7 linked regions of the Macaca fascicularis genome follow. Each later gene encodes a partner of the first gene's protein in a complex. Links are inferred from orthologs where the notes say so. Each region holds a gene or a part of one and is shown in the gene's direction. Other genes may lie near its edges.

The links.
Region 2: TAF1C (region 1) and POLR1C share a complex: the UniProt entries of both Homo sapiens proteins name them as parts of the pol I pre-initiation complex. The link is inferred for Macaca fascicularis from reciprocal best matches to the Homo sapiens genes TAF1C and POLR1C.
Region 3: TAF1C (region 1) and POLR2H share a complex: the UniProt entries of both Homo sapiens proteins name them as parts of the pol I pre-initiation complex. The link is inferred for Macaca fascicularis from reciprocal best matches to the Homo sapiens genes TAF1C and POLR2H.
Region 4: TAF1C (region 1) and RRN3 share a complex: the UniProt entries of both Homo sapiens proteins name them as parts of the pol I pre-initiation complex. The link is inferred for Macaca fascicularis from reciprocal best matches to the Homo sapiens genes TAF1C and RRN3.
Region 5: TAF1C (region 1) and POLR1H share a complex: the UniProt entries of both Homo sapiens proteins name them as parts of the pol I pre-initiation complex. The link is inferred for Macaca fascicularis from reciprocal best matches to the Homo sapiens genes TAF1C and POLR1H.
Region 6: TAF1C (region 1) and POLR1B share a complex: the UniProt entries of both Homo sapiens proteins name them as parts of the pol I pre-initiation complex. The link is inferred for Macaca fascicularis from reciprocal best matches to the Homo sapiens genes TAF1C and POLR1B.
Region 7: TAF1C (region 1) and TAF1D share a complex: the UniProt entries of both Homo sapiens proteins name them as parts of the transcription factor SL1/TIF-IB complex. The link is inferred for Macaca fascicularis from reciprocal best matches to the Homo sapiens genes TAF1C and TAF1D.

What each region holds. Positions count from the first base shown.
Region 1 is NC_088394.1:80,062,751-80,066,797, reverse strand, and holds the start of TAF1C (TATA box-binding protein-associated factor RNA polymerase I subunit C), read left to right. Parts: upstream 1-1,247; 5' UTR 1,248-1,384; intron 1,385-1,737; 5' UTR 1,738-1,855; intron 1,856-2,385; exon of another isoform or gene 2,386-2,600; intron 2,601-2,700; exon of another isoform or gene 2,701-2,804; intron 2,805-3,218; 5' UTR 3,219-3,290; coding exon 3,291-3,428; intron 3,429-4,047. UniProt on the Homo sapiens protein: Component of the transcription factor SL1/TIF-IB complex, which is involved in the assembly of the PIC (pre-initiation complex) during RNA polymerase I-dependent transcription.
Region 2 is NC_088378.1:128,000,112-128,003,611, reverse strand, and holds part of POLR1C (DNA-directed RNA polymerases I and III subunit RPAC1), read left to right. Parts: intron 1-303; coding exon 304-423; intron 424-512; coding exon 513-665; intron 666-862; coding exon 863-1,012; intron 1,013-1,169; coding exon 1,170-1,286; intron 1,287-1,424; coding exon of another isoform or gene 1,425-1,543; exon of another isoform or gene 1,544-1,760; intron 1,761-2,582; exon of another isoform or gene 2,583-3,500. UniProt on the Homo sapiens protein: DNA-dependent RNA polymerase catalyzes the transcription of DNA into RNA using the four ribonucleoside triphosphates as substrates.
Region 3 is NC_088376.1:96,289,922-96,292,041, forward strand, and holds the end of POLR2H (DNA-directed RNA polymerases I, II, and III subunit RPABC3), read left to right. Parts: intron 1-205; coding exon 206-289; intron 290-1,205; coding exon 1,206-1,323; 3' UTR 1,324-1,620; downstream 1,621-2,120. UniProt on the Homo sapiens protein: DNA-dependent RNA polymerase catalyzes the transcription of DNA into RNA using the four ribonucleoside triphosphates as substrates.
Region 4 is NC_088394.1:15,521,041-15,524,540, forward strand, and holds part of RRN3 (RNA polymerase I-specific transcription initiation factor RRN3), read left to right. Parts: intron 1-672; coding exon 673-857; intron 858-2,618; coding exon 2,619-2,727; intron 2,728-3,500. UniProt on the Homo sapiens protein: Required for efficient transcription initiation by RNA polymerase I (Pol I). Required for the formation of the competent pre-initiation complex (PIC).
Region 5 is NC_088378.1:142,602,755-142,606,996, reverse strand, and holds the start of POLR1H (DNA-directed RNA polymerase I subunit RPA12), read left to right. Parts: upstream 1-1,442; 5' UTR 1,443-1,469; exon of another isoform or gene 1,470-1,478; intron 1,479-1,594; 5' UTR 1,595-1,604; coding exon 1,605-1,749; intron 1,750-1,995; coding exon 1,996-2,096; intron 2,097-2,303; coding exon 2,304-2,413; intron 2,414-4,242. UniProt on the Homo sapiens protein: Core component of RNA polymerase I (Pol I), a DNA-dependent RNA polymerase which synthesizes ribosomal RNA precursors using the four ribonucleoside triphosphates as substrates. Can mediate Pol I proofreading of the nascent RNA transcript.
Region 6 is NC_088387.1:19,552,894-19,556,393, forward strand, and holds part of POLR1B (DNA-directed RNA polymerase I subunit RPA2), read left to right. Parts: intron 1-1,510; coding exon 1,511-1,682; intron 1,683-2,900; coding exon 2,901-3,182; intron 3,183-3,500. UniProt on the Homo sapiens protein: Catalytic core component of RNA polymerase I (Pol I), a DNA-dependent RNA polymerase which synthesizes ribosomal RNA precursors using the four ribonucleoside triphosphates as substrates.
Region 7 is NC_088388.1:92,775,366-92,779,496, reverse strand, and holds the start of TAF1D (TATA box-binding protein-associated factor RNA polymerase I subunit D), read left to right. Parts: upstream 1-1,331; 5' UTR 1,332-1,542; intron 1,543-2,270; exon of another isoform or gene 2,271-2,346; intron 2,347-3,497; 5' UTR 3,498-3,523; coding exon 3,524-3,591; intron 3,592-4,131. UniProt on the Homo sapiens protein: Component of the transcription factor SL1/TIF-IB complex, which is involved in the assembly of the PIC (preinitiation complex) during RNA polymerase I-dependent transcription.

The sequences.
Region 1 (4,047 bases):
GCCAAGGAACACAGGCAGCTTCCCGAAGCCAGAAAGGGCAACACAGTGGACTCTTCCTTAGAACCTCCCAAAAGGAACACAGCCCTGCTGACACTTTTAGTCCAGGTAAAAACTTCCAGAAAAAAAATATATAGGCCAGGCACGGTGGCTCATCCTGTAATCCCAGCACTTTGGGAGGCCAAGGCAGGCGGACCACTTGAGGTCAGGAGTTCGAGCAGCTTGACCAACATGGTGAAACCCCACCTCTACTAAAAATACAAAAATTAGCCGGGCATGGTGCTGCAGGCCTGTAATCCCAGCCACTCGGGAAGCTGAGGCAGGAGAATTGCTTGAACCCAGGAGGCAGAGGTTGCAGTGAGCCGAGGTCACGCCTCTGCACTCTAGCCTCCATCTCAAAAAAATAAATAAATAAAGATACAGATGACAGCTGAGAATTTGGAAATTGATTATTTGAAGCAACGGTTCTCAAAGTATGGCCCCTGGACCAGCACCATCTGGGAACTTGCTAGAAATGCAGACTCTTGGGCCACATCCCAGACCTACTGAATTAGCAAATCGGGGGGCAGAGGTAGGGTGGAGCCCAGCATACTTATAACAAGTCCCCCAGGTGGTTCTAAGGCTCACTCAAGTTTGAGAACTACTATGTTAGGATAATGGTAAGGTTTATGACTGGACAGCGGTTCTTACAGCATGTGCCCCAGATATGCAGTATCAGCATCACCTGGGAACTTAGGCAAATTATCAGGCCCCACCCCAGACTCACCGAATTGGAGACTGTGTTTTAACAAGCCCCCCAGGTGCTAATGCTGACGCACACTAGCTAGAGTTTGAGGACCACTGCCTAAAGCTCTCCCTGCACGACCACCCCTGGAAAAGCCTCACTCTTAGGAGGTATTTGTACCCTTATTTGTGAAGCCCGCTTCTTGGGATTTAAGGACAATCAGTAGGATACCTACTGACTAATACAGTGTCTGGCTTATAGTAGGTGCTCCGTGAGAGTTCGTTAAATGATTAATTTAATACAACGCTGAGGAAATTGATGAAGCAGATGTGGGATTCGAACCTAAGTCCACCCGGCCTCCACTATTGGAACTCGAGGGAGCTTTATTTCCGCAGCCCACGCGCCGCCTGCACGCCCGTTCCCTCTCCTCCCGGGAGGGGGCGCGCCAGGACCCTAAGAGGCCTGGCTGGGAGGTGGGACTTCCTGCCTCACCAGCAGGCACTTCCGGTCCAAACCGGAAGACCGTGAGTAGCTGCGGCGGGGCTGACCCATCCTGAGTGCCAAAGCTGGGGTTCTGCTTAATATTTCCCTCGTGGTGTCAGGGTCCGGCGAGCATCACGCCGAAGCCCATTTTCCAGACGACCACGACGAGACCGGGGTCACGTAAGTGCATGCGCCCCCTCCGCGCGGACTGGGCATGTTCGAGAGGAGTGGACCCGCAGATGTAGGAGGGGAGGGACTCCCTCAATCCCCCGTCCCCGCGGCTGGCTCACGTTTCGCAGTCCCCGGCCTGTCGTTAGTGCGGACCCGACTGAGTCCTGTAGCCTGGGAGGTCTAAAGGGGCCTGGAGAGCCCGCAGCGAGGGCGGGAAGCCGGCCGGGGATGTCGAGGCTGCCTTGTCTGAGGGCTTCTGTGGGGTCGTGCGCTCCACCAGCCCTCTCCGCCTGCCTAGGATCGTTTCAGGCTATGCGGTTCCAAGAGAAAATATTTTTGTTTCTATTTTATTTTTGAGATAGAGTCTTGCTCTGTCGCCCAGACTGGAGTGCTGTGGCATGATCCCAGCTCACTGCAACCTCTACCTCCCAGATTCAAGCGATTCTCGTGCCCCAGCCTCCTCAGTAGCTGCGATTACAGGTGTGCACCACCACGCCCTGCTAATTTTTGTATTTTTAGTAGAGACAAGGTTTTACTATATTGGCCGGGCTGGTCTCAAACTTCTGGCCTCAGGTGATCCACCCGCCTTGGCCTCTCCAAGTGCGGGGATTACAGGCGGGAGCCACCGCACTCGGCCGAAGGGAAAAGATTTTTGTTTCGCGAGACTCTTAATGCTAGCGTTTGCATTTGGGTGCATGCGAGAGCAGTGGTTCAGAGCTCTGCCTCTGAATCGGATGGGAATCAAGTCTTGGATGTGGCAGCTAAGAGCTGTTGAACTAAAGTTCTTGCTGAGCCTTGGTTTCCTGAACTCCGTGACAGGGGCTGCGGTAGAAGAGTGCAGCATTTAGCTTGCGCCTGGCAGATAGATGCTGGCGCTTGGTCAGTGAGAGCTGCTGTTATTTTTGCCCCTGTTTTGTTTTGTTAATTAAAAAGGAGGGATGCTATGGCTGCTCATACTTCTAGAGGACTGTATTTACCAAAGCCTTGTGATATAATTTTTTTTTCTCGAGATGGAGTTTCGCTCTTGTTGCCCAGGCTGCAGTGCAATGGCGCGATCTCAGCTCACTGCAACTTCCGCCTCCCGGCTTCAAGGAAATCTCCTGCCTCAGCCTCCCGAGTAACTGGGATTACAGGCATGCGTCACCACTCCTGGCTAATTTTGTATTTTTAGTAGAGACCAGGTTACTCCATGTTGGTCAGGCCAGTCTCGAACTCCCGACCTCAGGTGATCCACCCGCCTTGGCCTCCCAAAGTGCTAGGATTACCGGCATGAGCCACCGTGCCCGGCCTCTTGTGATAGAAATTTATTTTTATTCAACCCGTAGTGCATTTTCTGGGAGGCACTGTGGTTGACAGTAGGAAGACAATGCTGAGATGCAGTCCGTGGCTGTGGAGTAACTCCAGCGTCTTGGGGGTGTAGTCTGTAAATGTATGATGACGTTTTGAGCTGTGAGAGAGGCTGCCCCTTGCCGTCTATCTGACTCCATCTCTACCGCTCTCCACCTCGCTCACTCTGGCTGCCTCGTTTCTCACACACTTCACTGCTCTAGGATTTTCCCAGTTGTTGATCGTTTTGCCTGGAACCCTCTCCCCATTTGTGTACGTGGTTCTCTCCTTCACTGGGTTCAGGCTGTGCTCAAACGCCACCTTCTCAACGAGGCTTTTCCTGGCTGGCTTTGCTGAAACCGTGCCCTCAGCCCATTACCAGATCCCCTTCTCCTGGACGGGTGGTTTGCTTTAATGCAGTTCTCATTACTGCTTGGCATTGGGCTACATATTTGTTTTTTGTTACCTGCTTCCTCAAAGAGCATGTGCTTCCCATCATGCACTTTTCTCTCCGCAGGAACCCTGGCGCCCCTTACCAGCTTCCAGTCTCTCGAGGTGGCCAGTGTGGTGCTTGGTCCTTATTTCCGGGATGGACTTCCCCCACTCCCTCCGCCCCGCGTTGTTCATGACTGGACCCCTTGGTCTGAGCGACATCGCTGACCTCTCTTTCACGTGCAGCTGGCAACATGCGCTGACTCTGCCGGAGACCCAGCCCCAGAACTCAGAGGTGAGGATGGAGGCAGGGGCCCTGGCAGCTCCAGGGGCACCCCTTCCTGGGTCCCCTGTCTCACATTCATACCGGTTGAAAGGCCACAGAGTGGGGTGCCATTCACACAAGTCTGCTGAGACACAGGCTGTGCCACCTCCTCTGGGGCACGTGGGCTACCCTGCCATCCCTAGACGGATGCCCCCACTATGCCAGATGCCATGTGAGACCCTGGAAATGCTGCCTGAATCAGTCGGTTGACCCCTTCCTTCCTGGAACGGAGAGCTGAGTTGAGCGAGAATAAACAAGTGAACTTTATCCAACGGATAAGGTGTTTACAAAATGTGATCAGAGCTTGGAATGAAACCAGAAGGATGCTGAAACAGCGTAGTAGGATTGGGAGAGGGGAGGATAGACCTGCCAGGGTTTCTGGTGCCTCTGGAGGGACACTGGCCCTTTGCTTAGAATCCTCAGCCCCCTAGTTCCCCTTGGAAACACCCTGTCTAGGAATGAGGCCTGGCAGAGGCAAATGGATGAGCAAATAAAAAGAGAGTGGAGTTGGGGCTTGGGGAACAGGGGTCAGGGATGGCTTCCTTATGAGGGAAGGTCTGACATGAAATTGGGGCTCCTCGAGGAGTCT
Region 2 (3,500 bases), on another chromosome or scaffold:
GCCCAGGCTGGAGTGCAGTGGCCGGATCTCAGCTCACTGCAAGCTCTGCCTCCCGGGTTTTTACGCCATTCTCCTGCCTCAGCCTCCCGAGTAGCCGGGACTACAGGCGCCCGCCACCTCGCCCGGCTAGTTTTTGTATTTTTTAGTAGAGACGGGGTTTCACGGTGTTAGCCAGGATGGTCTCGAACTCCTGACCTCGTGATCTGCCCGTCTCGGCCTCCCAAAGTGCTGGGATTACAGGCTTGAGCCACCGCGCCCGGCCAGATGTTTACTAGTTCTTAAGAGCTCCCTCCATTTGTGCAGGAGATGAAGACGGCACAGAGATAGATACCCTACGGTTTCGTCTCCAAGTCAGATGCACTCGGAACCCCCATGCTGCTAAAGATTCCTCTGACCCCAACGAACTGTATGTGAACCACAAAGGTAAGTAGTGGTAGGGTGAGGAAGAGGCCCCACCTGTGGGTGGCTGCTAGTTTTAGGAACTGAAATCTTTTGACATGTTTTTCCTCCAGTGTATACCAGGCATATGACATGGATCCCCCTGGGGAATCAGGCTGATCTTTTCCCAGAGGGCACTATCCGACCAGTGCACGATGACATCCTCATTGCTCAGCTGCGGCCTGGCCAAGAAATTGACCTGCTTATGCACTGTGTCAAGGGCATTGGTGAGAACCCTGTGTTCCTTCCTGGGAAGAGGGGTAGTTTGGTTGCAGTGGGGCAAGCTGACTAGGGAACTCAGCTGAGATATTCCTAGCAGGTAGAAAGCCAAGAGCATCGTGCTTTTGCTGTTAGCAGCTTAGGAAGAGTATTCTTCCTAATCCTAGAAGGGTTTCGTATAGGCACTTTCTCTCTTCCTCTCCAGGCAAAGATCATGCCAAGTTTTCACCAGTGGCAACAGCCAGTTATAGGCTCCTGCCAGACATCACCCTGCTTGAGCCCGTGGAAGGGGAGGCAGCTGAGGAGTTGAGCAGGTGCTTCTCACCTGGTGTTATTGAGGTGCAGGAAGTCCAAGGTATGGTATTTGGGGTGCTGTTCAGGTTAGGACCTAAATTATATTTTCTTTGAAGGTGACAGAAATAAAAACCCTGGGTTCCTAAAAGTATAACATGGTTTGCTACCAAGGGGCAAATTAGAAAAAAGAATAAAAAAACGTGGTTTGTTCTCATTAGGTAAAAAGGTGGCCAGAGTTGCCAACCCCCGGCTGGATACCTTCAGCAGAGAAATCTTCCGGCATGAGAAGCTAAAGAAGGTTGTGAGGCTTGCCCGGGTTCGAGATCATTATATCTGTGAGTATGAAGTGGTGAGATGAGTGGGCAGTACTCTTTGGTGCTGCAGCTTCCTTCCAGTCTAGATGTGAAGTTTGAGTAACAGGGGCTTTCTACAGGCAAGCCCCGCCTAGGCTAAAGTGTCTCTTTGATCCCCAGTCTCTGTTGAGTCAACGGGGGTGTTGCCACCAGATGTGCTGGTGAGTGAAGCCATCAAAGTACTGATGGGGAAGTGCCGGCGCTTCTTGGATGAACTAGATGCGGTTCAGATGGACTGAGCTTGGATGTTCCTGAGGCAAGCTGAAGCTTTGGGTTCTGACTGACCCACCCTACAGGACTGCTGTACAGAGAGCCCAGTGTGACTAGGGATCCTGAGTTTTCTGGGACAATTCCAGCTTTATTTTTAATCAATACATTTTGTTAAATGTGCCATAAAATGAGACTTTTAGGCCTTTGTAAGGCCTTAGATGTAAATAAACTCATGTCCAAACAAAACTTTTTGAGACAACTTTTATATTTTTTGAGACAGAGTCTCACTCTGTTGCCCAGGCTGGAGTGCAATGGTGCAATCTCTGCTCACTGCAACCTCCTCCTCCTGGGTTCAAGCAATTCTCTTGCCTCAGCCTCCTGAGTAGCTGGGACTACAGGTGTGTACCACCACGCCTGGCTATGTGTAATTTTTTGTATTTTTAGTAGAGAGAGGGTTTCACCATATTGGTCAGACTGGTCTCAAACTCCTGACCTCAAGTGATCTGTCTGCCTTGGGGCCTCCCAAAGTGTTGGGATTACAGGTGTGAGCCACTGCGAAAAACAGGGCCTCACTTCAGAACTGGTTTGACCTTTAGCAATTAAGAACATCAGATGTACACTCCAGCCTGGGTAACAGTGAGACCCTGTCTCAAAAACAACAAAAAACACCTCCTGAGAATTGGCAAATTAAGGTGGTTTCTGGGAGTACAGCCAAACCCCTAGAAAAACATTCAAGCTAGAGTGAATGCACCATTTCACCTGTCTCCCGGATTACCAGGGAAGTTCATGCCGCTATTGACAGCTCCAACAAAGAACAGTAGCAATTCCTTTGGGCCAGGCCCAGCAGCCACATATGAAAGACACTGTGAGAATGGTATGGGCTGCCTAGTCTGGGTGTGTCAGGATAGAAATCCTTTTCTAACTGGCACACCATTTCAGAAAGCTTGAAAGACCAGGTTCATCAGTCACATTTCTTCCTGTTCAGTCCCCTTTTGCAGGGTGCTCATGGAGTAACTCTGGAGTATGTCACTGGTTTTAAGACTAGGTTGAAAAAGGCAGATGGGTCCCTTTCTGTATGAAACTGAGACTTTTACTGACATGCAGATGTGCTTTGGAGTTAATGTTTCTACAAAAAGTTTCTATAAACAATAGAAAACTTCTAGCATGAAGTCACAGGATGTTAAAAATATTACAACACAATAAATACAACTACACCCTCCACAGCCCCAACCATACAGGAATAGGCAGCTATCAGGTTTGGAGGGAAACACTATTGAGATCGCCTTCACAATCCACAGGAACCCAGAGCACCACACGGGAAGAGGGAGCAACATGAGACTCCAACTTCTGCTTCCTCAGCTTTGCCTCTTCCCAATCTGACCCTGCCTCTGGTCCACACCAGCTAAAAACTATAGCTTCAGTCCACTTCGGCTCTCATGGAAACCCTCTTGTCAGTGGATTGGTGGACAACAGGTCTGTTTTTGTGCAGAGCACATGGACACACTGGTTTCTGTATGGATTAAGTCTGCCTTTATGGCCAGTAATAATGTCAGGGCCAGGTCCCATATCCGAGTCCTGTTTATAGGGCCTTTCAGTGACCTCTAGAATGGACTCACAGTACAGGTTGTGATGCGAAGGCATGTATTCTTTTCTTTTGGAGATGGTCTTTGAGAAAAGTAACCAGGGACCTGAAAGACCATGAGATTGCGGAAGGCACCTGGTCTTAGTCCTAGAAGACCAGTGGCTTTGCTAGCTGCTTATCACAGATATAGCCTAGTTGGTCTGTTTTATCCTTGGATGACAATGGTGTCATGTGACACTCTCTAGGGTACTGTGGCTCTTGTGCCTGAGTGGACCTTGAGGCTGGGGAAGCCAAACTGAGGGGTCATTCATGGAAGGGCAAGATGTGTGAGCTCTAAAGGGGATGTTAGCACTAAAGACTGCCCAGCCCTGGTCCTTGGAGGTACTATACTTGACACTGTGCCA
Region 3 (2,120 bases), on another chromosome or scaffold:
ATATTTTTAGTAGAGATGGGGTTTCACTGTGTTAGCCAGGATGGTCTCGATTTCCTGACTTCGTGATCTGCCCGCCTCAGCCTCCCAAAGTGCTGGGATTACAGGCTTGATACACCGCGCCCAGCCGACCAGTAACCATTTTTAAATGGGATTTTTTATATTGTTAATTACTGTTAAGAATAACTTTGCTGCTATTGCTCCACAGGGCTGACCAATTTGAATATGTAATGTATGGAAAAGTGTACAGGATTGAGGGAGACGAAACTTCTACTGAAGCAGCAACACGCCTGTAAGTTACATAATCTTATGAGGTTCTTTTCCCTCTCTGTGTTCTGAGACTTTGAGCTATGCTCCTGCTTCCTCTGTTGGGTCCCTCTCCTCAGGCACCTCAGACCTAGGTAGGAACTAGAAAGAAATGGTTCTGAGAGCAGTTTCCAGTCTGAAAGGTAGACTGCTCTTTGTCAGGCCCTCCTGGCCCAGCAGTCCAGATGAGAAACTGGTTATCTTACTGTGTAAAGTGCAAAGGAGACTTGCTTCTCCAGAAACAAATGCAGCATTAAGTGATTATCCTATTAGGCTGTGTGTGTGTGTGTGTGTGTGTGTGTGTGTGTGTGTGTGTGTGTGTGTGTGTTTTGCTACTCTGTAACCCAATCCCTAGTTCCTTGGTTTTCCTGTCCAGCTATTTTTTCTTTTCTTTAAAATCTTATTAAAACAATATGTGCTTTTTGTAAGCAATTTGAAATGCAGAAGAGTAATGTGAAGAAGGAAAAAAAAAAGTCACCTGTAATTCCATACCCAGAGATAACCTTTTACATAGACTTTTTTGCATATCCTGGTGTTCTGTTTTTTCCTTTGAGACTGTGGTGTTTATTATGTTTTCTTCTGCTCTTTTTGCTTAACATTATGTAAAATATGTTTCCCCATGTTAGTGTGAAGCTTTTCTTAAATGTTTTAATAGTTGCATAACATTTCAGTAAGTGGATACATCTTGATTCATTTGACCATTCCCCTGATTTGGGGCATATAGGTGTTTTCCACCTTCGCTAATATAAAGAACAGTGCCTTGCACATATCTTGATCTTTGTCAGAATTTTGGTTCCTAGTGACAAAACAGTAGAAAGATGCCTCTTCTTTTTCTTAGGCTGAGATGGAGAGCTGCTGAGTAGCAGTGCTCCAGACTCATGGGATGGGGCCTTCTGTTTCAGCTCTGCCTATGTGTCCTATGGGGGCCTGCTCATGAGGCTGCAGGGGGATGCCAACAACCTGCATGGATTCGAGGTGGATTCCAGAGTTTATCTCCTGATGAAGAAGCTAGCCTTCTGAACCTCGCCAGAAGCCAGCCTTGCTGCCTAGTCACTCAGGTCATCGGCATTGTTCAAGCCTGAGTGGCAGCCAGTCTTGCTCACCTGTTGAGGAGGGGCTGGCTCACTGTCCACTGTGGTGGCATCTTTAACTGGCCTGCACTCAAAGGGAAACTGACTCGCCTGTGAAAGACAGTGGGAAAGCTGCAAATGAATCAGAAGCTTTGTGTATATGATTTTTAAATTAAACTTTACTTTTTCAGACTGCCCCTCCCCTTTTTGTAAAAAGTTCATTTACTGTAAAATCATTTTTTTGCAATTTGTCTGTGGTGTACTGTTTCTGGCCCACAGCCAGCTGATCACTTGTCAATGTAGGATCTATTCCAGCCTTTTGGTATCTGGGTTCAGGGTTATCTCAGTCTCCTGGCTGACTGTTCTCAACATTTATCCTCCAATGCGGTTTTCCGTTTGGGAGAGAGTGTTGTACTTTTGGCTCCTGAGGGTACCCCAGGCCCAGAAGATACCACCCATTTGGCGCGGAATTTTGAATTGGCAAGGAGCCCTGCTCGGGTCCTTCCAGCACTTTCAGGCTCTTAGGAAGTCAGTTCACGCTGACTTGATTGAGTCGCTTGCATAGTCTAGAAATGTTCATTATTTTTATGGAAGATGTGCACAGAGGCTTTTAGCCTTTTAGGCATGGGAGATGACTATGAAGAGAGTAGGAGGAGAGGACTTGGTGGTTCTGGAAGCAGCTGGAGGAGCTGGCTCTCTACATTCCAGTGGGAGGGAGGGTAAGTGGAAGTGGACAGGGCAGCAATA
Region 4 (3,500 bases), about 65 Mb from region 1:
CCCGTATGTAAGGCTTTTGTCATCTCTTCTGTGTGGTTGCACTTAAAGATCCGTTTGTTTTTGTGGATAGAGAACAGTGTTGTATACTGTTTTGATTCTTTTTGTAGGTTTATCATTTTTTCATTTGCGTTCTGAATCTATTGTATCTGTTAAAGCTGAAGAAAAACCCTTTTAAAGGTAATAGACCTATCTAGAAGGCCAGTTTCTTCCAGTGGCCCATGAAGATATCTTTGGACAAGGATGCTGTTGAAACCCTTCCCCAACCACAAAATTATTGACCATAGGACTTGACTAGGATGCATCAGGGAATACTGAAGTCCACCAGACTGTCTTTCTTTTGGGAGATGTTGGTGAACGTGTCCTGTTTGGCCAGTCACCCTAAGAGGGTGCCTTTGAGATGGTTAGGAGAACCTGCTTTCCATCCCTTGGGACGTCCTTAGGGGCTCACCTGTTCCTAGAAGGTCAGAGCTGCTCTGCCTTGTAATTGGAAGCTTGTCTTCCTACGCACCCATCCATATCCTTCCTTTCTTTGCTTTTCCTCTGTGCCCATGGGTATTATTTAAAGAAACATATGAACTTAGCGTGGTTTGTAATGAAAGGCAGTTGTGTGTTTTTATGTTTTCTGGTTTTTTTATGAAATATGAAGTTGACTTGAATTTTTCTTTTCTCTAGTACTGTAAAATCGTGCCTAGATCTTTTGGTTAACTGGCTGCACATATACCTTAATAACCAGGATTCAGGAACAAAGGCATTCTGCGATGTTGCTCTCCATGGTCCATTTTACTCAGCCTGCCAAGCTGTGTTCTACACCTTTGTTTTCAGACACAAGCAGCTTTTGAGCGGAAACCTGAAAGAAGGTCGGTGTTGTGGGAGTGCGGGACTGGATTTTCCTTGGGTTCTTGTCACCCTTTAGAATGGTGATTCTTTACTTTTTTGAGATTTTTATTAAAAACTCTGGATTCAGAAAACTGCATGTACACTCAAACTTTTAATAATCATTTCAAGCAGCTCATAGGCCCCTGCAAACCCCTTAAGATGGATTTGAGGTTAAGAAAGAGGTTTCTGCTTTTGAAGGTTTAAAATGTGAAGATGTCTGCAGAGGTGAGGCTGAGCCCTGGGCTGTGCCAGCGCCCTGTACAAAGCTTCAGGTGGATGCACCTTCTCTTTGTTGTCCTTGTAACAGCCCAGTAAATGGCAGGTGTTCTCCCTTTACAGACAGCACCAAAGCACAGGGGAGTCATTTTCCCAAGATCACATGGTTATTGGCAGGATTAGAAAACTGAAGGCAGGTTCAGCTGAGCCTAAAGTTTGGGTTTATATAGATTAAACTCTGCCTGAAGCCTTGAGACTTAATTCACCAGTATTGCTTTGCTAATTTCTAATAGTTACTTATAATTCAAATCTGTCAGTTGGAACTTACTAGATTAGTGTATTTTAGTTGAAGAGAGTCTCCAAGAACAGTGTTTATAAGTCATTGTAAATTGTTCTGTTTATGTTTATGAATAATTCACATGGTTTTGTGGGCCACTTCCTCTCAAGCGAGGTCCCTCAACCTCACACGATTGACATTTGGGTGCATCATCCTTCATCGTCGGGGGTTGTCCTCTGCACTGTAGGATGTTTAACAGCCTCTGCCTACTAGCTGCCAACAGCAGTCCCCGACCACCCCCAGCTGTGACAACTAAAACTATCTCCCAAAATTGCCATGTGTCCTCTGCGGCGGACATAGTCTCCTTGGGTTAACAGCCAGAGCTCTAAACTGAAAGTTGTATGTGTTGCATTATATATATTTACCTACATTCTACATGCTTCTGAAAAGATGTTGTATGAACTAGTCGGATGAGGTTTTATCACAAGGTTAGTAAATATAAGCTCTGCTTTTCTTCGTATAAATTAATGCCAGGAATCTGAATTGAAGATCTTGTTTTTGTAAGCTGTGACATCCCATTTAGGTAATTTTTATCAAAATATGCATCAAAGAAACTCCTGAGAAAATACACTTAAGTACAAGTTGGTCAGCTTGCCTGTTAAAATAAATGTGATGTCTTTCTTTTACTCACGTAGGAGAGAATTATATTCATTAAGAAAGTGGTTTCTGTCTAAATTTGCCTTCTGTTGAGGTAGAAGGCACATTTGGAGTTCTCTTGTTTGGAAAAAAAAAAAAACAAAAAAAACTACAAATGACTACTGTGTACCTGAAAACAGCGCTCAGCTTCACTAATGAGACGTGCAAGCTAGAATCAAATTGTTGTTTTGTTTTGTTGCCTGTCATGATCGTTAGCTGAAACCAAATCACAAGGTGTTTTTCCCCTCTGTATTAACTCAGCATATACTGAGCTTACAAACGTGTGAACTTCCAGTTGTCATGGAATCTTACAGCCTGCTACTTCCTGAGTTTTCTTTAGAGAAGCTGCCTTGGTGATCAATGAATGTGGTTAGCCTAGTGATACTCTTCTGGGCCATACACTGTGTGATTATCTGCATGGACCTTTATTTAAAGCATTTCTGCAAATAATTAAGTTTTTTTTTTTAATGTGTGATAATTTGTGCTATTAAAGATATCTTACACTTTTCACTTACATTTGTACCTCTAAAAAAATTTTTTTTTTTAACCAAAGGTTTGCGGTATCTTCAGAGTCTGAATTTTGAGCGGATAGTGATGAGCCAGCTAAATCCCCTGAAGGTTTGCCTGCCCTCAGTGGTTAACTTTTTTGCTGCAATCACAAAGTAAGTTATTTACTTTCTTGATGGGAGTTATTTAAAATATTTTTATTTATGTTTATCTAGTATTGTAAGAGTCTGTTAAATTTCTGTGAAATTAGTAACATTATAAAAGGCCAGGCGTGGTGGCTGACACCTATAATCTCAACATTTTGGGAGGCTGAGGTGGGAGGATTGCTTGAGGCCAGAAGTTAAAGACCAGCCTGAGCAACATCGTGAGACCCTGTCTCTACAAAACATTTTAAAAAATTAGCTGGGTGTGGTGGCCTGTGCCTGTAGTCCCCACTACTCAGGAAACTGAGGTAGGAGGATCACTTGATCCCAGGAGGTCAAGGATGCCGTGAGCCATGATTATACCACTGCACTCCAGTCTGGGCTCCAGAATGAGGCCCTGTCTCTTAAACAAAAACAACCCAGTCCTTGCAGGAAATATTGTAATACAGCTATTGTTTTTGTACTTTAATGGCATTGGAAATTGCTGCTACTTCTTATCCAAAGGGCATAATTCAGCAGAAGCCTAGGCACTTTGAAATAAGTAAGGCAGCCAGTAAGCTGAGAGGGGCAAAGCCATAGATGCTTATTAGAGTGACTCCTGTAATAGTAACAGAAATAAACTGGACGTGAGGCAAATGTTGACCAGTAAGAGATTGGTTTAGAGAGTACTGTTCTCTCAGGTCTGGTAGCTATGGTTAATTCATAGCCTTTCCTCTGTGCCAGGCAGTTCTCAGCACTTTACGTAGAACTCATTTGATCCTCAACCCTGTAGGATGAAACCCTGT
Region 5 (4,242 bases), on another chromosome or scaffold:
AGTGTTTTTCAAATTAAAAAGAGAAAATTGAGAAGGGTAGAATTTCAAGTTCCATTTTCAAAGGAGACACACAGATAAGTGAGAATAAAAACTGTCTACGACAATCAGCTCAACAACACATCTCCCTTTGTCAGACAGAATAACAAGCAATTTCACAGTTAAGTGATAGGGCTTGTCACTCTTCAGCAGTTTGCTGAGTTTTAACCCTTTAACTATGGTGTTCTCTCCATTATCACAGAGAAAGGCAGATGGGAGCCTCTCCCAGCGAAAAGACTACAGCTTGTGTCCTTCACAGGACAAAATAGTGATGGCTCCAGAACTTTCATATGAAGGAACTTAGCACAGCTATCAGAGTGGGTGGTGGTGGGAGGACTAGCATGAAACTAGTAAACAACGACAAGCTGCCCCTTCAGGGAAAGTTTCTACTTCGAATATAAGTTACAGAGTAACGAAAATAGCAAGATTTCCGAAAGAAACTTATTCCCATGTTTTATAAAAGATCAGGGAAATGTCAGCTGTCCACTTAATGGATGACGAATAATGAATTAAGAGTTCGATAAGCGGCAGGCACAACTAAAAGCCAAACTCGACCTAAGTCTTATGAAATCCTACTTAATGAGCTTCTTGACTACTGCTAGCCTCACTTATCTGGCAGGAGTCGAAGGAGGGGAAGCCCCAAGCTCTTCTGTTCTACCACCTCCAAAGTCCTGAGCCCCTTCTCAAGTGTCCCACTTCATCCCTGCTTCCTTTCGTCCCGTGGGACTAAGGATTCCTCTGGCCTTCACCCTCACCACTTGCTGTCCCTCAAGAAGCCGACTCACCCCTTTCCAAGCGCGGTGAACCGTCCGCAAAGCACAGGCCGGCTGCGCTCTGCAGAAAGCCCACGCTCGCCAGCGGGACCCAAGGAACGCTAGAACTATACATGCCAGAACACTTAGCTTTGTTTTTAACTACTGTGCAGCCGCAAAAGGGAAATACCAGCTCAGGACCCAGGGGAGTTGTAGTTCTCTAATCCAAAGAAGTCATTATTCAGCAAAGTACGGTTTTCAGGAGGATATTCCCCCGCGATTGGGTTCCCGTAGGATGTGAAACAGAGAATAAATATCCCAGGATTCGGTGCTGGTGGGAAAATTTGCTGGAAGCGCAGCATTGGTTACCAATTTTGTGCTCAACGTCTCAGTACCAGCCTGAAAGTTGAGCCCCAACCTCCCTTAGAAGAGGTGACTCTCCATCTCTAAGGCTTCCGAGACACGGTTCGCAATTAATTATGACGTCACAGCCAATCGTCAGCGTGAAAGCGTGACGCTCTAGCCGGCTCTAGCTCGCTGCCCCGCCGCGGGCGCAGAGCTGGCGCTCTAGCCCACGGAGTTGGCCAGCTCCTCTCGCCGGCCCCAGGAAAGGGTTCCAAGTCCTTTTAGTACCCGACGCTGTCTGGGAGTTCCGGGCGTTTCGGCTCCTTGGTCGCAGAGGCAGGAGGCGTGCGTGGGAGGAGGACTCGGGTTATATACTCCTACGTCCTGGGACGGAATAGTTACCAACTCTGGGGCAGGAACTCTTCTCTCTTTTGTTAATAAACTTCTAACTCCCTCCTCAGACCCGACTGCATGTCTGTCATGGACCTCGCCGGTACTTGCTCCAGCTTTCAGTCGGACTTGGATTTCTGTTCAGATTGCGGCTCGGTCCTGCCTCTGCCCGGGGCTCAGGATACGGTCACCTGTACTCGCTGTGGCTTCAACATCAACGTTCGGGGTGAGAGGCTTGTACACAGGGGTCCTGGCGGAGGGCCCAGGATCGGAAGCTTGGGGAACTCAAGATAGGTTGGGTTCAGAAGGGGATCCTAGAGCAGGACATCAGGCAGTTGTACATTTGGTCCAGCGATGAAAACTGAGGGAAAGGATATAGGGCCTCCTGGCCTAACCAGCCAGGGGAGAGGGGAAGTTTCCGGTGTCAGCTCCCTCAGGTTGTCTCCATAACCAGTCTTACTTGCCTGTGCAGACTTTGAGGGGAAGGTTGTGAAGACTTCAGTTGTGTTCCACCAACTGGGGACAGCCATGCCTATGTCGGTGGAGGAAGGGCCTGAGTGCCAGGGACCTGTGGTAAGTTAATGAGATCAAGAACTGGCTCCATAAGGTGGGTAGGAAAGAAATGGAGGAGTGATTGCAGAGATCTGGAGAGTTTTGTGCCCAATTCCAAGTGGGAAAAGATGTAAAGCATCGATGTTTGAGAGGCGTGATCGCCTGGTTCCTGTGGGAAGTAAGGGTATGATATGACCAGGCCTCCATAACCCACCAGTTTCTTCCCAGGTTGACAGGCGCTGCCCTCGATGTGGTCATGAAGGAATGGCATACCACACCAGACAGATGCGTTCAGCCGATGAAGGGCAAACTGTCTTCTACACCTGTACCAACTGCAAGTGGGTATCCTTTCCCCTCCCTTTGCTCAGTCTGTTTGCTAACTAATAAACAAATCCAGTGATTTATTTTTTTGTACTAAACGGCTGTGTCCTTTCGTCCCATCCCTTATTTCTGTGCAGTTCTGGTAAGAGGGAGATTTGTAGTTTTTATTTTTTTAAATTACACTTTTTTAACCCTTTTTGTAACCAGTGAAATAAACCTTTTAGGTTTTTGTTTTGTTTTTTTTTTTTTTTTTTAAATGGACAGGGTGTTGCTCTGTCACCTAGCCTGGAGTGCAGTGAGGCAATCTTGGCTCACTGCAACCTCCGCCTCCTGGGCTCAGGTAATCCTCCCACCTCAGCCTCCAAAATAGCTTTGGGACCACAGGCACGTGCCACCACACCTGGCTTTTTGTTTTGTTTTGTTTTTTGTATTTTTAGTAGAGATAGGGTTTCTCTCTGTTTCCCAGGCTGGTCTTGAACTCCTGAGCTCAATCAACCCACCTCAGCATCCCAAAGTGCTGGGGATTACAGGCATGAGCCACCCTGCCTGACCTTCTTTTAGGATATTTAAAAGGAAATGAAGAAAAAAAACCATAAGAAGCAAGTATTGTTTAGTGGTCAGCGTCTTATACTGCAGTCTTCAACCGCAGTCAAGGTAGCTTTACTTTGGAGAGAATTAGTCACACATGATTTAGAGAACATGGGCTTTCTGAATGCTTTTAAGACCTCATCTTTGTCTTTGGTGTTCTGCAGTCACTATAGTATATCAAAATGTGATTTTCTTTTATTCTGTTTGGGATTTGTTGGACTTTCTGAAACTGAGAGTGCATTGTTGTTTTTTGTTTTGTTTTGTTTTTTTGAGACGGAGTCTCGCTCTGTCTCCCAGGCTGGAGTCCAGTGGTGTGTTCTCGGCTCACTGCAAGCTCCGCCTCCCGGGTTCACGCCATTCTCCTGCCTCAGCCTCCTGAATAGCTGGGACTACAGGTGCCCCCCACCACGCCCGGCTAATTTTTTGTGTTTTTTAGTAGAGACGAGATTTCACTGTGTTAGCCAGGATGATCTCGATCTCCTGACCTCGTGATCCACCCGCCTCGGCCTCCCCAAGTGCTGGGATTACAGGCGTGAGCCACTACGCCCAGCCTAGAGTGGATTTTTTTTTCATCAACCTTGGAAAATTATCAGCCATCATCTCTTTTAATATTCTCTTTCCCCCATGTTCTCAGTCCTCACATTCTGGACCTCTAATTAGTTACTAGAATGAGATTTCTCTCTTCTGTCCTCCATTTCTCTCGCCCTCTTTTCATATTTTCAATCGCTTTTCTCTTTATGCCACCTTCTGAGTAATTTCTTCAGGTTCCTCTTCCATGTCACTAGTTCTGTCTTCAGTTTATTTCAAATATTATTATTTTTTACTATTGTTATTATTTTGAGTTCTATTTAATTACTTTTCAAATCTCAATTTTTAAATAATTCTCAGTTCCTTAATCATATTTTAAATTGTTCCTTTTACTAGTCTTTAAATATATAAAATATTAAATATAGTTATTATATTCTATGTCTCATAATTCTGATATCCATGGATTTTGTGTGTCTGATGCTGCTGTCTGTTTCTGCTGTCTCTCTCATAGTGCTTTTTTCTTTGTTTTGTAATTTTTGACAATAAATTTGAGTTTTTTAGAACTTGAACTGTAGGAATTCTTTGAGGCCTTGGGTAAGTGCTGTATTCTCAGCATTTGTGTTTCTTTTCTAGGTGCCTTGAAGCACTATCAAGCTGGAATTACTTTAAATAAATTCTTGGCTTCATGTTTTTTGGAGCACACAGATAGTATGAATTTGAGCTGCAAATC
Region 6 (3,500 bases), on another chromosome or scaffold:
GTGATATTAAATGCAGTGTCAGTGCCAGAGAATATGCAGAAATGACATGTGGCACTTCCAGTGCTGTCTTCTGGAAGAATAGTTAGGTCTTCCAAGCGTGAGTGTTCAAACACTGGTACTTTAAAGAGCTGGGTTATCAAGAGTCAATGGCTAATGTGTTGACTCGGGGGCCTGCTGGAAAAGGTATACCGTGATTAAGTGACCTGTGTACATCTTCCAGGTTTTCTTCCAAATATCAAATACAGGAGAGAACGTATTTCAAACATTCTCTTAGGTGTTTTCAGTGGTTTCTGAACCACCCATAGGAAGCACTGATGGTGTATAGTCTTTTTTTCTTTTATTTTTAGTTGACATGCAATAACTACATATTTATGGGGTATGCAGTGATATTTCCATGTATGTAAATAATGTATAATGATCAAATCAGAGTAGTTAACACATTCATCACCTCAAACATGTATCTTTTTTTGTGTTGTGGACGTTCAAAATCCCCTCTTCTAGCTTTTTGAAAATAAACAATAAGGCTGGGCATGGTGGCTCACGCCTGTAATCCCAACACTTTGGAAGCCGAGGCAAGAGGATTGCTTGAGCCCAGGAGTTTGAGACCAGCCTAGGCAACAAAGTGAGACCCCCATCTCTACAAAAAAAATTTAAAAATTAGCCGAGCATGGTGGCACATACCTATGGTCCCACCTACTCAGGAGGTTGAGGCGGGAGGATCCCTTGAACCTAGGAGGTTGAGGCTGCAGTGAGAAAATATACAACAAATATAGTTAACTTATTCAACCTGCAGTGCTGCAGAATACCAGAACTCAGTCCTCCAGTCTAGCTGTAATTTTGCAATTGCAGGCTGCCTTAACCATTTCAGTGAGTGTTGGCAGCATAGACTAAGATGGGCTGTGTAGTTCGTGTGATTGCTTTTAGGTGTGGACTGTGTAGTTCGTGTGATTGCTTTCAGGTATGGGCTGTGTAGTTCGTGTGATTGCTTTTAGGTGTGTAACAAATATAACGGGTGAAGGAGGGCATGACATTGAAGAGCTATCCTTTCTGCACCTGAAAAGCTCTCCTTCAGGTTTTTGGTTTTGCTGTATTCCATATCCAGTGTATGTTAGTGGACCTTTGTTAAAGGTTGTACAGATTACATGGGAATAAATATGACGTTTGTAATAATTTTATTTTATTGAGAATAGGGTCTTGCCCTGTTTCCCAGGCTGGAGTGCAGTGGCACAATCGTGGCTCCCTGAAGCCTTAGGCTCCTGGACTCAAGCGATCCTTCTGCCTCATCCTCCCAAGTAGCTGGAACTACAGGCATGCCCCACCCCTCACCCCACCCCCTTCTGGCGAATTTTTAAATTTTTTGTAGAGACAGGGTTTTGTTTCACCATTTTGCCCAGTCTCATGTTGAACTCTTGGTCTCAAGCGATCCACCCAATCCTGGGATTATAGATGTGAGCCACCACACCTAGCTCACATACTATTTTATATTAATTTTTTGTTTTTCTTATTTCAGGAAAAACTGGAAGGTTGGTTAGTGTCTATTAAAATAGCTTTTGATAAGAAGGCTCAGAAGACCAATGTTTCCATGAACACTGACAATTTGATGAGGATTTTTACTATGGGAATAGACCTTACAAAACCATTTGAATACCTTTTTGCTACTGGGAATCTGCGTTCTAAAACAGGTAAAATTAAATAGAGCATTTTAGTTATGTTTTTCAAACTATTTGCTTAATGTAGATTTGCCTGTCCTTGACAGGTTCTTTTTAAAAGCAAACCCCCCCAAAAAAGTAAATTTCTCGTAACTATGACTTTGATGACTATTGATCTGAAGGACTTTAGACAAGGTGTCTGTATAGCTAAAATTTAATTCAAATAACCAAATACATTTTCTCTGCCTCCTTCTAGAAAATGAAAAGACCACTTAGACCTCTGAGGAAGGCTTACCTAATAGGAATTCTGCATGGGTTGCTGTACATGCCCATCTCTAAACCAGTTGCCTTGCCTCAGAGTGACCTGAGAGGCCAGGTGTGGTGGCTCATGCCTGTAATCCCAGCACTTTGGGAGGCCAAGGTAGGAGGGTGGCTTGACTAGGAGGTCAAGGCTGCAGTGAGCTGTGATTGCACCACTGCACTCCAGCCTGGTGACAGAGTGAGACCCTGTCTCAGCAAAAAAGAGAATGACCCTGGAAACTTAAAAAGTGGTAATTGGGAACCCAGAAATTTTTTTTTTTTCTTTTTTTGTGAGTCAGGGCCTCACTGTGTCACCCAGTCTAGAGTGCAGTGGCAGAATCATGGCTCACTGCAGCCTTGACCTCCCGGGCTCAGGTGATCCTCCCACCTCAGCCCCACTAGTAGCTGTGACTACAGGCACAAGCCACCACACCTGGCTAATTTTTGTGTTTTTTGTAGAGATGGGGTTTTGCTGTGCTGCTAAGGCTGGTCTGGAACTCTTAAGCTCTGGCGAACTACCCACCTCGCCCTCTTGAAGTGCTGGGATTATAGCATTAGCCACTGTGCCCAGCCTTTTTTTTTTTTTTTTTTTAAAACCCCTGTTACTGATGCCGATTCTTTCATTAGCCTTCTTACTTGCTTGTCTATTATCTGACCCTCTCAGATGAATTTAACTACTTGCTATTTTATTAACTCATTTAATGTTCTCCTACAAAGGAGGTCATAGAGGAGATAGGGAACTAGTTGGGGCTCATACAGTTTGTGAAATCTGGGGATTATTTTACATATTTTTTGCGAACTCTTTCCACTCATCAGAGCTAGGAGAATAAATGTTGTAATAATTCATTCTGTAATCTGTAGAGTGCTCTGAGGTTTTGTCGTCACAAAGCCTCAAAAATTTCCGTTTTTTAAAAGATTGGCCCATTTTTGAGTGACTTTTGTTTTATTAAGGTCTTGGCCTCCTACAAAATTCTGGACTTTGTGTTGTGGCTGACAAGCTGAACTTCATACGCTACCTCTCCCATTTCCGCTGCGTGCACAGAGGGGCTGATTTTGCCAAGATGAGGACCACCACAGTACGCCGGCTGCTGCCAGAGTCCTGGGGCTTCCTTTGTCCAGTGCATACCCCAGACGGGGAGCCCTGTGGCCTGATGAACCACCTAACTGCCGTATGTGAGGTTGTCACACAGTTTGTGTATACGGCATCTATTCCGGCTTTACTCTGCAACTTGGGTATGTAGTGTATAGTGATAAACATCTTGCTTGATTTTTTTTTTGTTTTTTGTGTTTTTTTTGAGATGGAGTCTCGCTCTGTTGCCCATGCTGGAGTGTAGTGGCACGATCTCTGCTCACTGCAAGCTCCGCCCCCTGGGTTCACGCCATTCTCCTGCCTCAGCCTCCCAAGTAGCTGGGACTACAGGCACCCGCCACCACGCCCAGCTAATTTTTTTGTATTTGTAGTAGAGACGGGGTTTCACCATGTTAGCCACGATGGTCTCGATCTCCTGACCTCGTGATGTGCCTGCCTCGGCCTCCCAAAGTGCTGGGATT
Region 7 (4,131 bases), on another chromosome or scaffold:
CATACCAGTCCTGGAGCTTAGTCACTGCCCAGCCCCTGTGGATCAAATGCAGTGTCAGACTTTTTATCCCCGAAATTGTCCAATCTATGGAGCAAAGGAGGGTAAAGAGACCAGATTACTTTTAAGGCACGCGCTATCCTAAAATGATGTAAACTATAAAATAAGATTAGACAGCTTTACTGGTTTTTGCGGTGTATCATATGAAAACAGAAGTTTGAAACCAGAAAAATCAAACCAGTTCAATCCTTTTAAAAATTTCTTTGGGAGGCCGGTGGCTCACGCCTGTAATCCCAGCACTTTGGGAGGCCGAGGCGGGTGGATCACCTGAGGTCAGGAGTTCGAGACCAGCCTGACCAACATGGAGAAACCCCGTGTCTCCTAAAAGTACAAAAAAATTAGCAGGGCATGGTGGCACATGCCTGTAATCTCAGCTACTTGGGAGGCTGAGGCAGGAGAATCGCTTGAACCCGGGAAGCGGAGCTTGCGGTGAGCCAAGATCGCGCCATTGCACTCCAGCCTGGGCAACAAGAGCGAAACTCGGTCTCAAAAAAACCCCAAAAAACCGAAAAACAAAAAAAAAAAACAAAAAACTTTCGAAGAAAAAAACCCCACCAAAACTAAACTAGTTTACACAGCTTAATCTTAACTCAGGAACTGGTCAAGGAACTAATGGTGGGGGGCGGGGGGGATGTAGGAGGAAACTGAGGAAAAAGAAATCCTCCACAGGTCTCACTTGTGACGTGTTAGCCAATTCCTGGGAGGCAGAAAGGGTGAGCTCCCGAAACAGGTGCAAAGGTGGGGAGGAGACCTGGGCGTGCTACGGCATAACACTGGCGTCCAGCACAAAGGTTACAAACTTCGAGTAACCTTCCCGAATATTTTCACACACAAGGGTTTTGAAGGCAAAAGTAGACACAGGATGACAAAACACTCATTCACACATCCCACCCGTCACCCTCACCACATACTCGGGACCAGGTTTAGAAAGCCGGGAGACAGCTCAGCAAACGCGAGACCACCGGAAACGACCCGGGCTGAGAGGCTGTTTCCTCGCAGTTCTCATCCACTCACAATTGGCCGCACATTTTCTTTTTGTTATTTGCCGAAATGTTCTTGGCTATTCCACTTACCGAATCGGTCACGCAAGCAAAACACCAGAATCCCGATCTCCGCCTACGCCAACCCCGCCTCCTCAGAGTAAGCGAGCTACAGCTCCGCCCACGTTAGTCGCTCCTCCCTGCGCGGCGAGAAAAATGGCGCCCCCGCGTCGCGACTCCTCCCACCGCTCGCCTTCTTCCCGGGAGCTAAATTGTATCGCGAGATTTCTGCCTGACTATTACTTGGGCCGCGGGGATATCCCACCCTTTTCTTCCGCGCGGTTGGAGGACATCGGCTAGTTTTCCGGAGTTGGAGGACTGAAATCGGGAGGGTGGTGTGTGCAAATCTCCAGGACTCACGCACCAGGCCAGTCGCAGGTTTTGGCCCGAGGCCTGGGTTACGGGCAGCAAGTGCGCGGTTGGGGCCGGTGTGAGGCGGTTTTAGGTAGGTTGCCAAGAGGGCAAGGCCGTCTGGGCTTGTTGGGCAGGGGAGGCATTGCATATCTGGGGTTTCGGCCCCTGCGTTGTTCCGGAGGATTGAGCCTCGGAAGTCGGGCCGAGAGGGTGAAGGGATCACGGTTGCAGGCCACTCCGCGCCACGCGGCTGGTATGAGGCCCACAAACGTGGTTGTAGTGTGGGCGGGCTTCATTATATCTTGAGATGGAGGTGTTAAAACGTGTTGCAGACAAGTTTAACCTTCTTAACGTAATTTAAATGATTTAACCTTCATATGTGAGGTACCCATTGATAGCGCCGGTTTCCTGGAGGTTAGGCGCTGCCCGGAGAGACGCGCTGGTGGTCACAGAATTAGCTCCGGGTAAAGCGCCGCTTTCTGCCCACGTGGCCTCTAAGAATTGCAGAATTCCAGCGGATGCATCGACACCCAAGTAGGAGTGTCTTCTAAACACTAAGAAAAAAGTGATTCTTGAGCTAGCTTTATTTTGATAATCCCTACTTTAAAAAAAAATTAACCACAGGTATACCATTAATGCATGGGGCCAAATTTTTGTTGAATTCCGTTTTTGAGCATTCGATATATAATGACTTCGTAGAATCCTGTACTTAAGCTAATAAGACGTACTACCAGAAAATTACCACAGGGGTCCATTGGGCATTTAACAAATCTGAGCTCTTGGTAACCTTATCGTTTTATATTTTAAATGTTTTGCTAGTTCATCCTAGGATTTATATGCAATGACTCATGTTAGGTCCCAAGAAGCTACAGAATGAGACAAGAGATTGACTAAGGCAAGTACAATAGTGAAATAAGTAGTTATCCTTCATTTTTGTTGCCATGCCTATTTTTTTTTTTTTTTTTTTTTTTTTCTGAGACAGGGTCTTGTTCTGTCGTCCAGGCTGGGGTGCAGTGGTGCAATCTCGGCTCACTGCAACCTCCACCTCTGCTCAAGCGATCCTCCCGAGTGGCTGGGAGCACAGGCACGGGTCACCACACCTAGCCAGTATCTTAAGAATTTTTTGTAGAGACAAGGGTCTCCTTGTGTGCTGAGGCTCACTACATACAACTTCCACCTCCCAGGCTCAGGTATTCACCTACCTCAGCCTCCTGACCACAGGCGCGCGCCACTAGCCCGGCTAATTTTTGTATTTTTTGTAGAGACGGAGTTTCACCACGTTGCCCAGGTTGGTCTTGAGCTCCTGGGCTCGAGCGATCCGCCCGCCTCGACCTCCCAAAGTGCTGTGTTACACAGGCCTGAGCCACCCAGACCAACCTGTTTTTTCTTTTAGCTCACAAGAAGGAATCTTTTTTTTCTTCTTTTTTTGGCATGTTGTATACTCTACCATGGGGATGAAAACACAAAGAATTATGATAGTTTATTGAAAAAGGTTGAGAATTCAGAACTTGTCAGTTTCCACCAATAATGGCAAAGATACAGTATGACAAAGTTCAGTTACTTAAATGAATCTAGGAATGAAGAATCTAGGAATTATAATGGAGAGGTGATCAGGGTCTGTTGATTGGAGATCCTTTTCCTGGTTTATATAGGGCACATTTTGCCTTAGGAATTCCCTCTTTGATCTTGGAAAATGGTTTTTAATTTTACATTAATACTGTATTGGTAATTGCACGTTAGTAAGTGGCTAATGATAAAACTGTATTTTCTACTTATATTGAAAGATGCTTTTTTTGGAAGTGACAGTACTTTTTTGGAATCTTGTTCCATTGAATACATTTAGAGGGTAAAAACTGAAAGAACCTGTGAATAGAATTTCTGGATTTCTTTTTAAAGAAATTGATCTGAAATGGATAAGAAGGTTAACCCCGGCAAATGATTTTGCCTAAAATCAGTGGCATAGTCTGACCATGTTGAATATTATAGTAGATACTGTGTCAATATTTAGGGAAGCTTTGTCACATTTACTAAATTTCATAATTTCAGAAAACTGTTATAAAACAAAGCAATTGATGGATAAATCAGGAATAGATTCTACCGACCATGTGACATCTGATGCTATGGAACTTGCAAATCAAAGGTAAGTGGGTTTTTACTGGAGAACTGAGTGGATTCAATCATATTTATTGTATCTGAATTATGAGAAATTATTTTATATAATGAGTGACAGTAAAGATGATTTTCAGGAATTGGGAAAGAAGGAAAACCAGATTTCACTGACCTTCCAGGTTTATCTAGTTAATGTAGATTGATAATAGCATTGCAAATACTTTAAATTCAAAATGTGAATATATTATAATGGGACACATTCTTCAAGAAAAAAATGTATTCTTTGGGTCATATTAGCATCTCTTCCAGACTACCTCTTCCTGTTTCTGTCTGGTAGGCTGTGTTTGTTTTACTCACTCTTAGCAGTGAACCAAACCATACAGCCTTTGTGGAGCTCATACACCATACAGCCTTTGTGGAGCCATACGTTATCTTAAAAGATACATAGTTTTTTGCTAAGCTGAGCACAGTGGTGCATGCCATTAGTCCTAGCTAGCTACTTGGGAGGCTGAGTCAGGAGCATCCCTGGAGTTCCAGGAGTTTGAGGTTGCAGTGAGCTGTGATTGCACCA